2 linked regions of the Ovis aries genome follow. The protein of the gene in region 2 purifies or fractionates together with the protein of the main gene of each other region. This does not show direct contact. Links are inferred from orthologs where the notes say so. Each region holds a gene or a part of one and is shown on either strand. Other genes may lie near its edges.

What was found. Proteins that work in one complex are often made in the same cells at the same time.
Region 1: the proteins of cyclin-dependent kinase inhibitor 2A (region 2) and CDK5RAP3 purify together in Homo sapiens (affinity purification with western blotting; 3 studies listed by BioGRID). This does not show direct contact. The link is inferred for Ovis aries from reciprocal best matches to the Homo sapiens genes CDKN2A and CDK5RAP3.

The regions. Positions count from the first base shown.
Region 1 is NC_056064.1:38,227,377-38,231,413, forward strand, and holds the start of CDK5RAP3 (CDK5 regulatory subunit-associated protein 3), read right to left. Parts: upstream 2,801-4,037; 5' UTR 2,780-2,800; coding exon 2,774-2,779; intron 2,551-2,773; coding exon 2,505-2,550; intron 2,133-2,504; exon of another isoform or gene 2,091-2,132; coding exon of another isoform or gene 2,069-2,090; intron 795-2,068; coding exon 663-794; intron 384-662; coding exon 283-383; intron 1-282. UniProt on the Homo sapiens protein: Substrate adapter of E3 ligase complexes mediating ufmylation, the covalent attachment of the ubiquitin-like modifier UFM1 to substrate proteins, and which is involved in various processes, such as ribosome recycling and reticulophagy (also called ER-phagy).
Region 2 is NC_056055.1:90,754,653-90,761,099, forward strand, and holds the start of cyclin-dependent kinase inhibitor 2A, read right to left. Parts: upstream 4,049-6,447; 5' UTR 3,720-4,048; coding exon 3,594-3,719; intron 383-3,593; coding exon 116-382; 3' UTR 81-115; intron 1-80. UniProt on the Homo sapiens protein: Acts as a negative regulator of the proliferation of normal cells by interacting strongly with CDK4 and CDK6. This inhibits their ability to interact with cyclins D and to phosphorylate the retinoblastoma protein.

The sequences.
Region 1 (4,037 bases), on a different chromosome or scaffold from region 2:
ATAATGCTGGCTGGACCACCCACTTTAAGAGTATGGTGCCAACAAGCGATTCCTAAAGCAAATGGAAACCCAGGCGTAGGGGCACAAGGAGTTGGACACAACTGAGCGACTGATACTTCCACTTTCAGGATCTACTTTTGGCATAAACTATGGGGACAGAGAGAAAGCTGAGAAAATATTCCACGGGGGCATCTCCAATGGAACCTCAGCGAGACCAGACAGCCTCTGACCCCCTGGACTGGATGCCTCCAGCTGCGCGTTACCACCGTCACCCATACTTGCCTTCATTCGCTGTGAAGAGTACCGGCCGAAAATATTTTTTGTGGAGGCTTCAGTGCCTTTGAGAAGCTCCACAATTCTTAGGCAGTGGAAGTAGTGAATGTCTGGAAAGCAAAGAAAAACAAAGACTTTGGAAATAATAGTCTCTAACCCACCACTGCAGCCTCCGCATATGGCTGACTCATGTATATGCCAGTAACTTTAGAGGGCACAGCTCTCCCCTTCATCATTTTGTGTTGAAATAAACCAGCCTCTATACCCCAAATAAAAGCCTCTCTTTCTTTAGAGGTCAGTCCTATGACTAAAGAAAGAGGAACAGCTCAGCAGATTTATACCACCCCAAGAAAGACGGGGGTCCAGTAATGCAGCCCCGAAGCACTCACAGGATCCAGAGAGCAGCTGGGCGATCTCTTGGCTCTCTGGCATGTCCTGGATGGCGGCATTGATCTTCTCTCGGATGGTCAATACTAGACTCTGCCATTTCAGGTTGCAGTGCCTTCTATCTACCAGCCAGTCTATAGCAGAAACCCAAATCATAGCATTCCCATGGCCAAAACTGCATCACTGATTCAAGTGAAATATGCTAAGGCATTGGCTAAAAGTTGTACTCATATTGGTTAAGGTGTGGGGGTCACGGGAAGATGGGAATGAAGACAGGCTCAAAGGGATGCTTGGGGCTAAACAGATTCCAGCAACCTAACTTTATCCACAATGTGACTTTATAAAGTAACTGCCTCAACACAGGATAAAGGAAAGCTTTCAATTGGTCCTGACATCAAAGTGACACTTTGGACCACTCTAAATTCTCCATGATATTTTTGCTTCCATGGATAATTATATCTTTCTTACTGCCATTCAATTTCTACTTTCTCAGGGCTGGGATTAACCATGACAATGAAAAACACAAGTCGGTTACACCAAATACCAGATGAATGAACAACTGCAAAGCCCCTAAGGACTAAATAACACTGGTCTACTCTTATCAGCGAAGCACCATCCTGCACACATGGATACCAGTGTGACTGATCTCCTGGATTCTGGGCCAGATCTGTTTTCAGTTGAGGGTATAGGTGGATGAGAGCTATGTACATTTCCTCATAGGAGAGAGCTAAGACCTAGACTTTGTGGTCAGCTGGTCCTGGTTCTAATTACCAACTTTCTTGGGCAAGTCTCTCAACCTCTCTGTGCCTCAGTTTCTCTACATGTAAAATGGGCATGATAAATATACTGAGTACAAACGGTAGAACACTGAACATCATGCCTGGCGCATGGCAAGGGCTCAATGAATTGTAGTGGTCTTCATTTTCATAATGTTAAGCCCATAAAACAGCACTTGGTATAGAATAAACCCTCAATAAATGGTTGGGTTTTTACCAGTCCTTTTCAGGACCAATAACAAGCATATACATCAAGAGTGTACAGGTCCTGAAGAGCTGGGACAAATCCAAAATGAAGTTAAAGACGCTCCACTAAGTGGCCACCTTGCCCTTGTTAAGAAATCTGCTAACTGGTCAAATGCTGGGAGCCCACACTAGTTATCAGTTATATCCCCATTGCTGCACTCCACTAAAATCTCCAAAAACAAAAATTATGTAGATGTCACAGAAGTGGAAGCAAAGGGACGACACAGTCAAACAGATGTCATCTTAATGACACAACTGGCATCAAAACAATTAATTCAAAGACCATTTAAAAATCCAGGAGCTGTGCACTGCCCTAGAGGGGTCAGAGTGAAGAGGCCCTTCCCTGGCTCTGAACTAGAGAGGTGGTATATAGACGCGATACAGACAGCAGGGAGATGGTCTGGCCATTAAAAGGTTTTCTTTTCAACTGGACCTACGTGCCTTTTCCTCCTAAAGTCAAAGGAAAAAATAAAAAGGAAGAAAGTTTTTTTTTCCAGCGTAATACAATACTGGAACCTGACAGACTTAGGTTCTAACTTCAGATCTGCCATTCGGCAGCTGATCATCTTTAAGGCAAGCCTTCAACTCTCCTCTGTCCCTAAAATACATGACTGACAACATGTTATATACGTTTAAATAGAAAACACAGGTCAAGTATAGACTCTATGCATGGTTCCTTCCCGCTCCTTTTACTGAGGCAGGTCCAGCCACAGATGGGAGCACAGAACAGAGCGAGTGGTCGGCGGGTCCGCTGTTGGTGACAGAGGGCCAGGGGGCCAGGTCTCCCCTTGACAGCTAGGTGAGCGGGGGCGCCCCTCCTACCGAGTAGCTTGCTGGTCTGGATGTCGATGGGCACGTGCTGATGGTCCTGGCGGGAAACACGGCGGGGAAAGGTGCGTGAGTGCTGCGAGCTGACAAGCCGCTCGCGCGCTCACTTCATCGCCCCAACCGCCACCCTGTGGGGCCAGCACAACGGGCCGGGGAGGGCGCCCCCGGAGAGAGCCTGAGGAAGCATGTCAGGAAAGGACCGGCTGAACTCAGCCCAGGGGCCCCAGGGCAGCCCCCCATTTCCCCAGCTGCTGTTCCCCCACCTGCATCTTTCCTCCACTTCCGTTTCCGGCCTCCGACCGGGACACGCCCCGCCTACCACTAATCCAGGGCTGTTCTGGCTGAGCCTCGGGTTAGGCACAGATGGGTCTTCTCGGGCCACGTCACCGCCTTCCTCAGAGCCAATCGGGAAGCGCGCTCCATCCCAGGCCTCAAGCCCCACCCACGCCGGGGTTCCGAGTGGCTGAGCCCGGGAAGGGCGGGAGAAGAGGAGCCAGCCAATGGGAGACGCGAGGCGGGCTCAAGACCTGGCAGGAGCTGGGGCGCCCGGAAAGGGCTGCAGAGGCTGCAGAATCCCAGCAGGCGGCGCCCTGGAGCTGATCCCAGTCGCTCCCGGCCAGACAGGCGCGGAGCCCTCTGCGTAAAGATTAACGAGTCGGCCGACAGGGTCCTAGCGCCTACTGAGGAACCTAGAGGTCCTTGATGTTGTTTATTTATTTATTTTTTTAATGATGTCATTTTTTAATTTTGAACATAAGTGGGAAAAAATTTTGAATACAAGAGTAGAAATGCAATTCCAGAGGAAAACATTCCAGTGCATTGTGGTTCTTTGTGGGGTAGAAGATGGTGATAATGCTGCCCATAACTTGATGTTGTTTAGATACGCTCAGTCGTATCCGACTCTTTGCGACCCCGTGAATAGGAGCACTCCAGGCTTCCCTGTCGTAAACCATCCCCTGGAGTTTGCTCAGACTCATATCCATTGAGTCGGTGATGCCATCCAACCATCTCATCCTCTGTCGCCCCCTTCTCCTCCTGCCCCCAATATTTCCCAGCATCAAGGTCTTTTCCAATGAGTCAACTCTTCGCATCAGGTGGCCAAAGTATTGGAGCTTCAGCTTCAGCATCAGTCCTTCCAGTGAATAGTCAGGGTTGACTTCCTTTAGGATTGACTGGTTTGATCTCCTTGCAGTCCAAGAGACTCTCAAGAAGAGTCTTTTTAGAAACGCCCTACTTGCCTCGCTTTACCGTGGATCATGGTTTAAAAGTCTTTTTTGGCACATTACCTTCTCACTGAATTTATGTAATAGACAAGTGTTGAACACCTGCTACGTGTTATGTGATTAGGGCAGGGATGGGGAGGGAGGAGGGTCAAAGGAGGCATCCCAAAGATAACACCTAAATTGAGTGTTAAAAGAAGAGCTGCAGAAAGAGGGAGATGTGGGAGTGGTGTTCCCGGTTGGAGTAGACTGTACAAAGCTTTGCAGGCTTTGCAACGAGGTGCAGGGAAAAACAGGCGGGAAAGAC
Region 2 (6,447 bases):
TCCAACTTTCTCTTCTGAAAAGTAAATGCTCTGGGAAGCGGAAGCTCTCTGAGTTCAAACTCGTGGATCCACCACCTCACCTGCGGGACCTTCCGCGGAGTCTGCGCGGGCGTGGCTACAGCCTTCTCTCCGTGGCCGCGCGCAGGTACCGGGCGACGTCGCGGTGGCCCCGCTCCTCGGCCAGGTCCACGGGCAGGCGACCCCAGGCATCGCGCACATCCAGCCGCGCCCCGGCTCGGTGCAGGGCCACCAGCGTGTCAAGGAAGCCCTCCCGGGCGGCGTCGTGCACCGGCCGGGTGAGGGTGGCGGGGTCCGCGCAGTTGGGGTCCGCGCCGTGGAGCAGCAGAAGCTCCGCCACGCGGGCGCTGCCCATCATCATCACCTGCCAGAGAGAGCAGAGTGGTCAGGACGGCTGGGGGCAGGGGCAGGATTAAAGAAACTACTTGTAGAACCCGTACTCCCTGCAGATGCGCTTACGATCCGCAAGAATCTAGTTACTACTTTTTTTTTTTTTCAGTTACCGACTCGCTTAGCCAGTTCTCCTACCTATTCCTTTTTTTTTTTTTTTCTGTACACACTGTTACATTCTTCAGCATTTTGCGGGGTTCCAGCCACGAACAGAACACTACCAGAGTCATAGATAACAGCAAAAGGGTGAGGAACAAACTGACTTCTACTACAGCCTAATCTCCTGTATTTTATTTTGATATGAAATTATGCAAGGCCCAGAGACTTTGTATGGTTCACTGCTGTATGTCCAAGCCCAGAACATGGTAATTGTTTAAAAGTAAAAATGAAAAAAAAAAAAACTTAATTCTTGTAAAACGTTAAGCTACCCTTGATTTCCCTGAACGTTAAACTTCAATTTCTTGAAGTATAAAATGAAAAAGTTTGTCTAACCAGTCCTAAAATTCCTTCTTCTGGTAAGCTAAATAATGTTCCCCAAAGATGTCCATTTCCTGATACTCAAAAGCTGTTAACATACTACCTTATGTGAAAAAAGGGACTTTGTGGATATGATTAAATTAAGGATTTTGCGGGCAATTAACCTGTATTGTCAGGGTGGGCACAATTTAATGACAAGTTTCCTTATAAAAAGATCACAGTCAGAGAAGATATAAGAATGGAAGCAGAGGTCAGAGAGAAAATGCAGGGGCCAAGAGCCAAGGAATGTTGACTGTCACTAAATGTTGGGAGAGGCAAGGAAATGGATTCTTCCTTAGAACTCCCAAAGGGAATGCAACCTTGTGGACCCATTTTAGAATTCTGATTTACAGAACCATAAGATAATAAATTTATGTTGATACTAAATTTGTGGTAATTTGTTATAGCAGAAATAGGAAGACACCTTCCAAGATCACACTCAGACTTCATTAAAGAGGAGGTGCTCACTTCATTTGGTTCCTAAATAATCTTTGATGATACAAGAGCATTACCAAAGAGGAATTTTGAAATATTGTTCACAATCACAGCAACTTTGCAATTTGAGTGTTATACATTGGGTGGAGGTGATAGAACATTCTTTTTTAGGGTAACCATTATTTGGTTACATTAGCTACACTATATTGAGGAATTATTTATTTTTAGTTGAGTTCTGTATTAAACTTGAATTAATTTGTTCAAACCAAGGAATCTTAACAAGTTATACTATGCTTGTTGAGTTCTATCCTAGAGAAAGTGAAACTGATTTAATTAAAAAAAAAAAAAAAACCACAGAGAAAATTTAAGTGAACCAACTTGCAGCTACAAAAAGGAAAACTAACAGTGCATTAGAAGAAAGAATTTTTTAAAATAAAAACTGGGGAAATTTACACTATTGGATTTCTCATGGATTATGAATTAATTTCCAAAACAAAGGGGCCACACCCAAGGACACCATAATCTTTTGGAAACTCTACTATAAGTGCCAGAGCTCATATATATATATGTATGTCTCCTTCCATGCTTGTATATAATGCAGGTGAAAATATATTACATGGGTTGGATAAATGAAGTCCTTGGTCTTAGTCATTAAATTGGTTAAAGGTATTATTATATGCTACAGTATTAAAGTATGAAAAGTAACATAATATTTAAATCATAGTAGCAATCCAAAGCAAAAAGAAAATCATTCAAATGAATATTTCTAGGGTACTTAAGTCAAACTGAAGATATAAATTTAATTTAGTCATTAAAATTTTTCTATAAACTAAGTATTTTTAAACACAAATTTGGTTAGGGTTCAAAACTAAAATCATATCCCTTTTGTCGATGCCCTTATCCTATTTAAAAATAATTTAAAATTAATTATCTTTCTTTTTGTATTTAAACAATAAAGTCTAATATAACATCTTTCAGAACTAGAAGGCTGTAACACCCAGTCTGCAAACTGCTGGCAAAACTTTAGAGATATCCAATTATGAATCATGCATGCATTTTTTAAAAAAAGAACTCATGCTTCTCTTCTACAACCATTCAACCTTTTAATCTCCAAATCTCTCCACATTTCAAATCCCAAATAATCTCAGATTTGAGGATATTTTATTTTTATTTTTGTATCTAAAAGTATATAAAATATATCTGTTCTATGTAGCATAGTTTGAGGAAAGGACGATTCGCTTGTGAAATCACTTGTTAAGTTCCAGGTTGAGTTACTTTTCCTTTGTCTTGTTATGCTGGAGTTTTTGCAGTGTACATTTCATATAAATATTATTTTTCAGAATCAGAAATCGTTGTCGAAACCTGGAATAAAACTGGAGTGACTGCCAGGAAGAATTTATTTTTAGCCCCAGATTTAGGAAGTTAGTGAAGGCAAAACACACACACACACACACACACACACACACACAGAAAAACGAACTCACAACTCATCCTCACACATACAAAACTGGAGTGGGGAGAGGAGAAATGACATTTTTTAAACTATGAGGAACTGAAAACTTCCCAGGAAATTAATGTATACCAAGTAAGTTTAAAATACCCCAAAAGGTAAGAGACACTCAAGTGGTAACTAAATTGGCAGCATTATTTCAGGCATAATTGCACTAATTTTTTTTTTCATGTATGTCTATTTCCTAAACAAGCATATATGTTCCTTACTCGGTTAAAAAAAAATAATAAACACGATATATGGTTGCTTCTGAATAATTTCAATCGACCTTTATTCCAACTTACACAGCAGTAGATTTCCACTGAAATCTCCCTCTCACCGCCCCTCCCCCCCCAACAAAGAAGTCGATCAGCTCCATTCACAATTTTATAAGTTCGGGAGTAAGTGGTCCAGCATGTCTTACTGTCTTTATACTCGTACTCCAGACGTTCGTCAATTTCGCATATCGGTCTATATTAACACACGTAGGTTCTCCCTTCTAGATCTTCACACCGTTTTAGAGATCTGAACCCCACGCGCCTTCTCAGCCAGCTCCGCGGCCGTCCTGAGCCCCCTGAGAGTCGCCGAGAGGTCTCCGATCCCGAACTCGGTCTGAAAAGTCTCCCCTTTACCAAGAAACGCTTACCTGGTTCCGACTCACTGGCGGACCTCGTCCTCCAAAGCCTCTCGCCATCCACCCACCCACCCAGCCGCCCACCTTTCCGCGGCAGACCTGCTGACCCACCTGAATCGCGCTTCGACCGTAACGGTTCGGCGCGTTGGCCAACGCTCCAGCCTCGAGCAGTGCCCGTACCTCGTCAGCCCGGCCCCGCGCGGCGGCGGCGGCCAGCAAGTCAGCCGAGGTCTCCATGCTGCTCCCCAAAGCTCGCCCCTCGCTCCCTCCCTTCCTCCCGCCTGCGTCGAGCGCGGGCGGCCCGCCCAGGCTGCTCCTGAGCAGCCCGCCCCTCCTCTTTCCTCCTACGGGGCTGGCGGAAGCGGCCCCCAGACTCGGCCCCTCGACTCCTCCCGAGGAGTCTTTCCACCCGGGGAGCGCCCTCCACGCGCTCTTCCAGGAGGCGCCCTTTGCTCCTAACGAACAAGACGTCTATGAAGTAGCCCCCGCCGGGCCTCCTCGGTCACAGGTCTGCCGCCCACGCGACCCGAGGCACCGGCCGGAAGCTGTCCGCTCCGGTAGCGCGACGGGACCGCGAAAGGAGGGCGCCCTGGGACCTCCTCCCCGCCCCCCGCCCCGCGTCCGCGCGCAGCGCGCCCCCACCCCCATCAGAGGCGCACGCGCGGCTCCGAGCGAGTTCACTCCAGCCAAGTGAAAATTCCTCGCGTATACACCCTGAGTGGCGTGAGACAACTGCATAGGATTCCTAACTGCCAAGTTCGAACCAGTGTGTTTGGAGTCATAGGCAAAGTTATTGCTTCCTCTTTTAATCAGAAGAAACAGCCAGCTTGTCCTGGCCCCGAGCGCCCAGGATAGGTATCAGCCATTCCACCATGAGGCTTTCCTTCTTGGAGAGGATACACTCCCCCTCCAACGCTCAGCACCAGGTTTTCGAGCGCTGGCTCGATTATGCCAGAAATTCTAGCTCAAACGTCCCTTCTGGAGAACTGGCTCACGCGCCAGGCTGTGCCTCCCTCCCTCCACACACATGTAAAACGGATGTCGGGGGAGAGCGTTTCCTAGGCTTGCACAATGCCTGGTACTAGTGCCCAGTATACGGGCTGGCTCCGAGCAGATGAGGTCAATTTAAAAGGGATGGTGGAGATTTCTACCTGTACGCAGATAGGAAAGTGGCAAGGGTATCCTTGGGCTTAGTAGGCTCTGTTCTCAATAATTTCTCCTACACCAGAAAACATGCTCATTGCTCTAGGGACAGGGCTGCATTCGGAGATGATTCAGAAAGCAGGCTCACACACTGTCTTGGTGCCACTTCTGTCCACCTTTCCTTCCTGTTAGAAAAACCTTACACTTTTCTTAGTTATAAAATGGAGGGGGGAATAAGAGGTGTCCCTACTTCCTAGGACTGTTTTGAGTTTTAAATGAATTGATACACACATAAGCATTTAGAACAGTATCACACATCCTAAGCTCATGCCTGTTAGCTCTTAACATCCATTTTGAAGATTTTCTTGCAATCTAGGAGACAGAGAAGGAAATGGTTTAGGTAGAATTATCAATATTACATATAAAAGGGCAGGCAAGAAAACCTTAATCACTGAAACAATGATGGACATCTTCCAGTGACCGACATATTTAATGAAAAGTTAATGTTTAATCTGTCTGCTAGATAACCCAGCTCTGTTTTAAAAGTTATATTTCAATTCCTACTTGACTCCTCTTGAAGACCCATAATACTTGACTATACTTTCAGTGGCTGTTAGTTTAGGCAACACATGAGGTTTTAAATAATGACAATTAAAACACTTATGGGACTGGGAAGTCAAGTCCATTATAAAATCCACAATGCATCACTGTGTTATGTATATTTTCCTCCAGGCACCTCTCAAGTATGAGAGCAACAATGATGTGGAAATGTAAACATCTTCTAATGTTGCTTAAGGTATTGTATGATAGAGGAGGGGAAAACAGCAGTTGTGGTAATGAGATGGAGGGAACAGATTTCCCTTGTAATATGTCTGGCTTTTTAGACTAATATCAAAATTAAATTAAACCATTAAAAATAATGGTTCTTAATCTTAGGGCAGGGAGAATAAGCTGTTGAAAGCTATATACCCTCTCCTCCAAAAATAAAATATGCAATTTTATTTAAAAAGTGTGTTCACTGGCACATGTAACTTTTAGGGAATTCAGTAATTCCTCTAAAATTCAACTATAGATTCCTACATCAGGAACTCTTTAAACTCTCATGCAATATATTGGACTGTTGATGAAGGAAACGGGTGCTCGAACAATATAAAAACATCCGCTGGATGCATTACATATAGATATAGAGGTTGATTTTCTTCCAAAGCAGGTTTTAGACAGGTATGCACTAGCTCCAACACTTACAGTAGAGTTCGCTAAAGACATGGCATCCTTGAGTGTGGCCCCCTTGTTCTAGAAATTGACCCCATACTCAGCCAGCAATCTTGTATAAATAGGTAACTAGCAATAATATGAAAGATTGCCTAGTTTTTCTTTTAAAGAACTACCAAACTCTCAACTTACTCATGTATATTAGATCAGACCTGAGGGGAAAAAATCTCAGAAGAAATAAAATATAAAACCCAGGATCCTTGTGCTGGTTATGCTAGTCTCAGATCCCCCATCTGTAAAATGGAGTCATATTTTATGGATTGATAAAATAAGATGATACATGTCAAAGAGCTTTAAAAATTCTAAAGTTTGTTGGTTAGTGTTATTACCCTTCTCAAACTTCCTTCTCTTCCTTGAGAATGACATGGCCTTATTTAGGTTTGTGCTGTGCTGGCAGTTTTGAAAATCTACACGATGAAATAAAAATCTGTCTCAATTCTCTTTTTTTTTTTCACGATTGCTCACCTCTAAAAATGAATGTTCATTCAACAAGCTCAGAGGTTAAGGGTAGAGCACTGAGTGTGGCGGGGGGCGGGGAAGATATGAAATG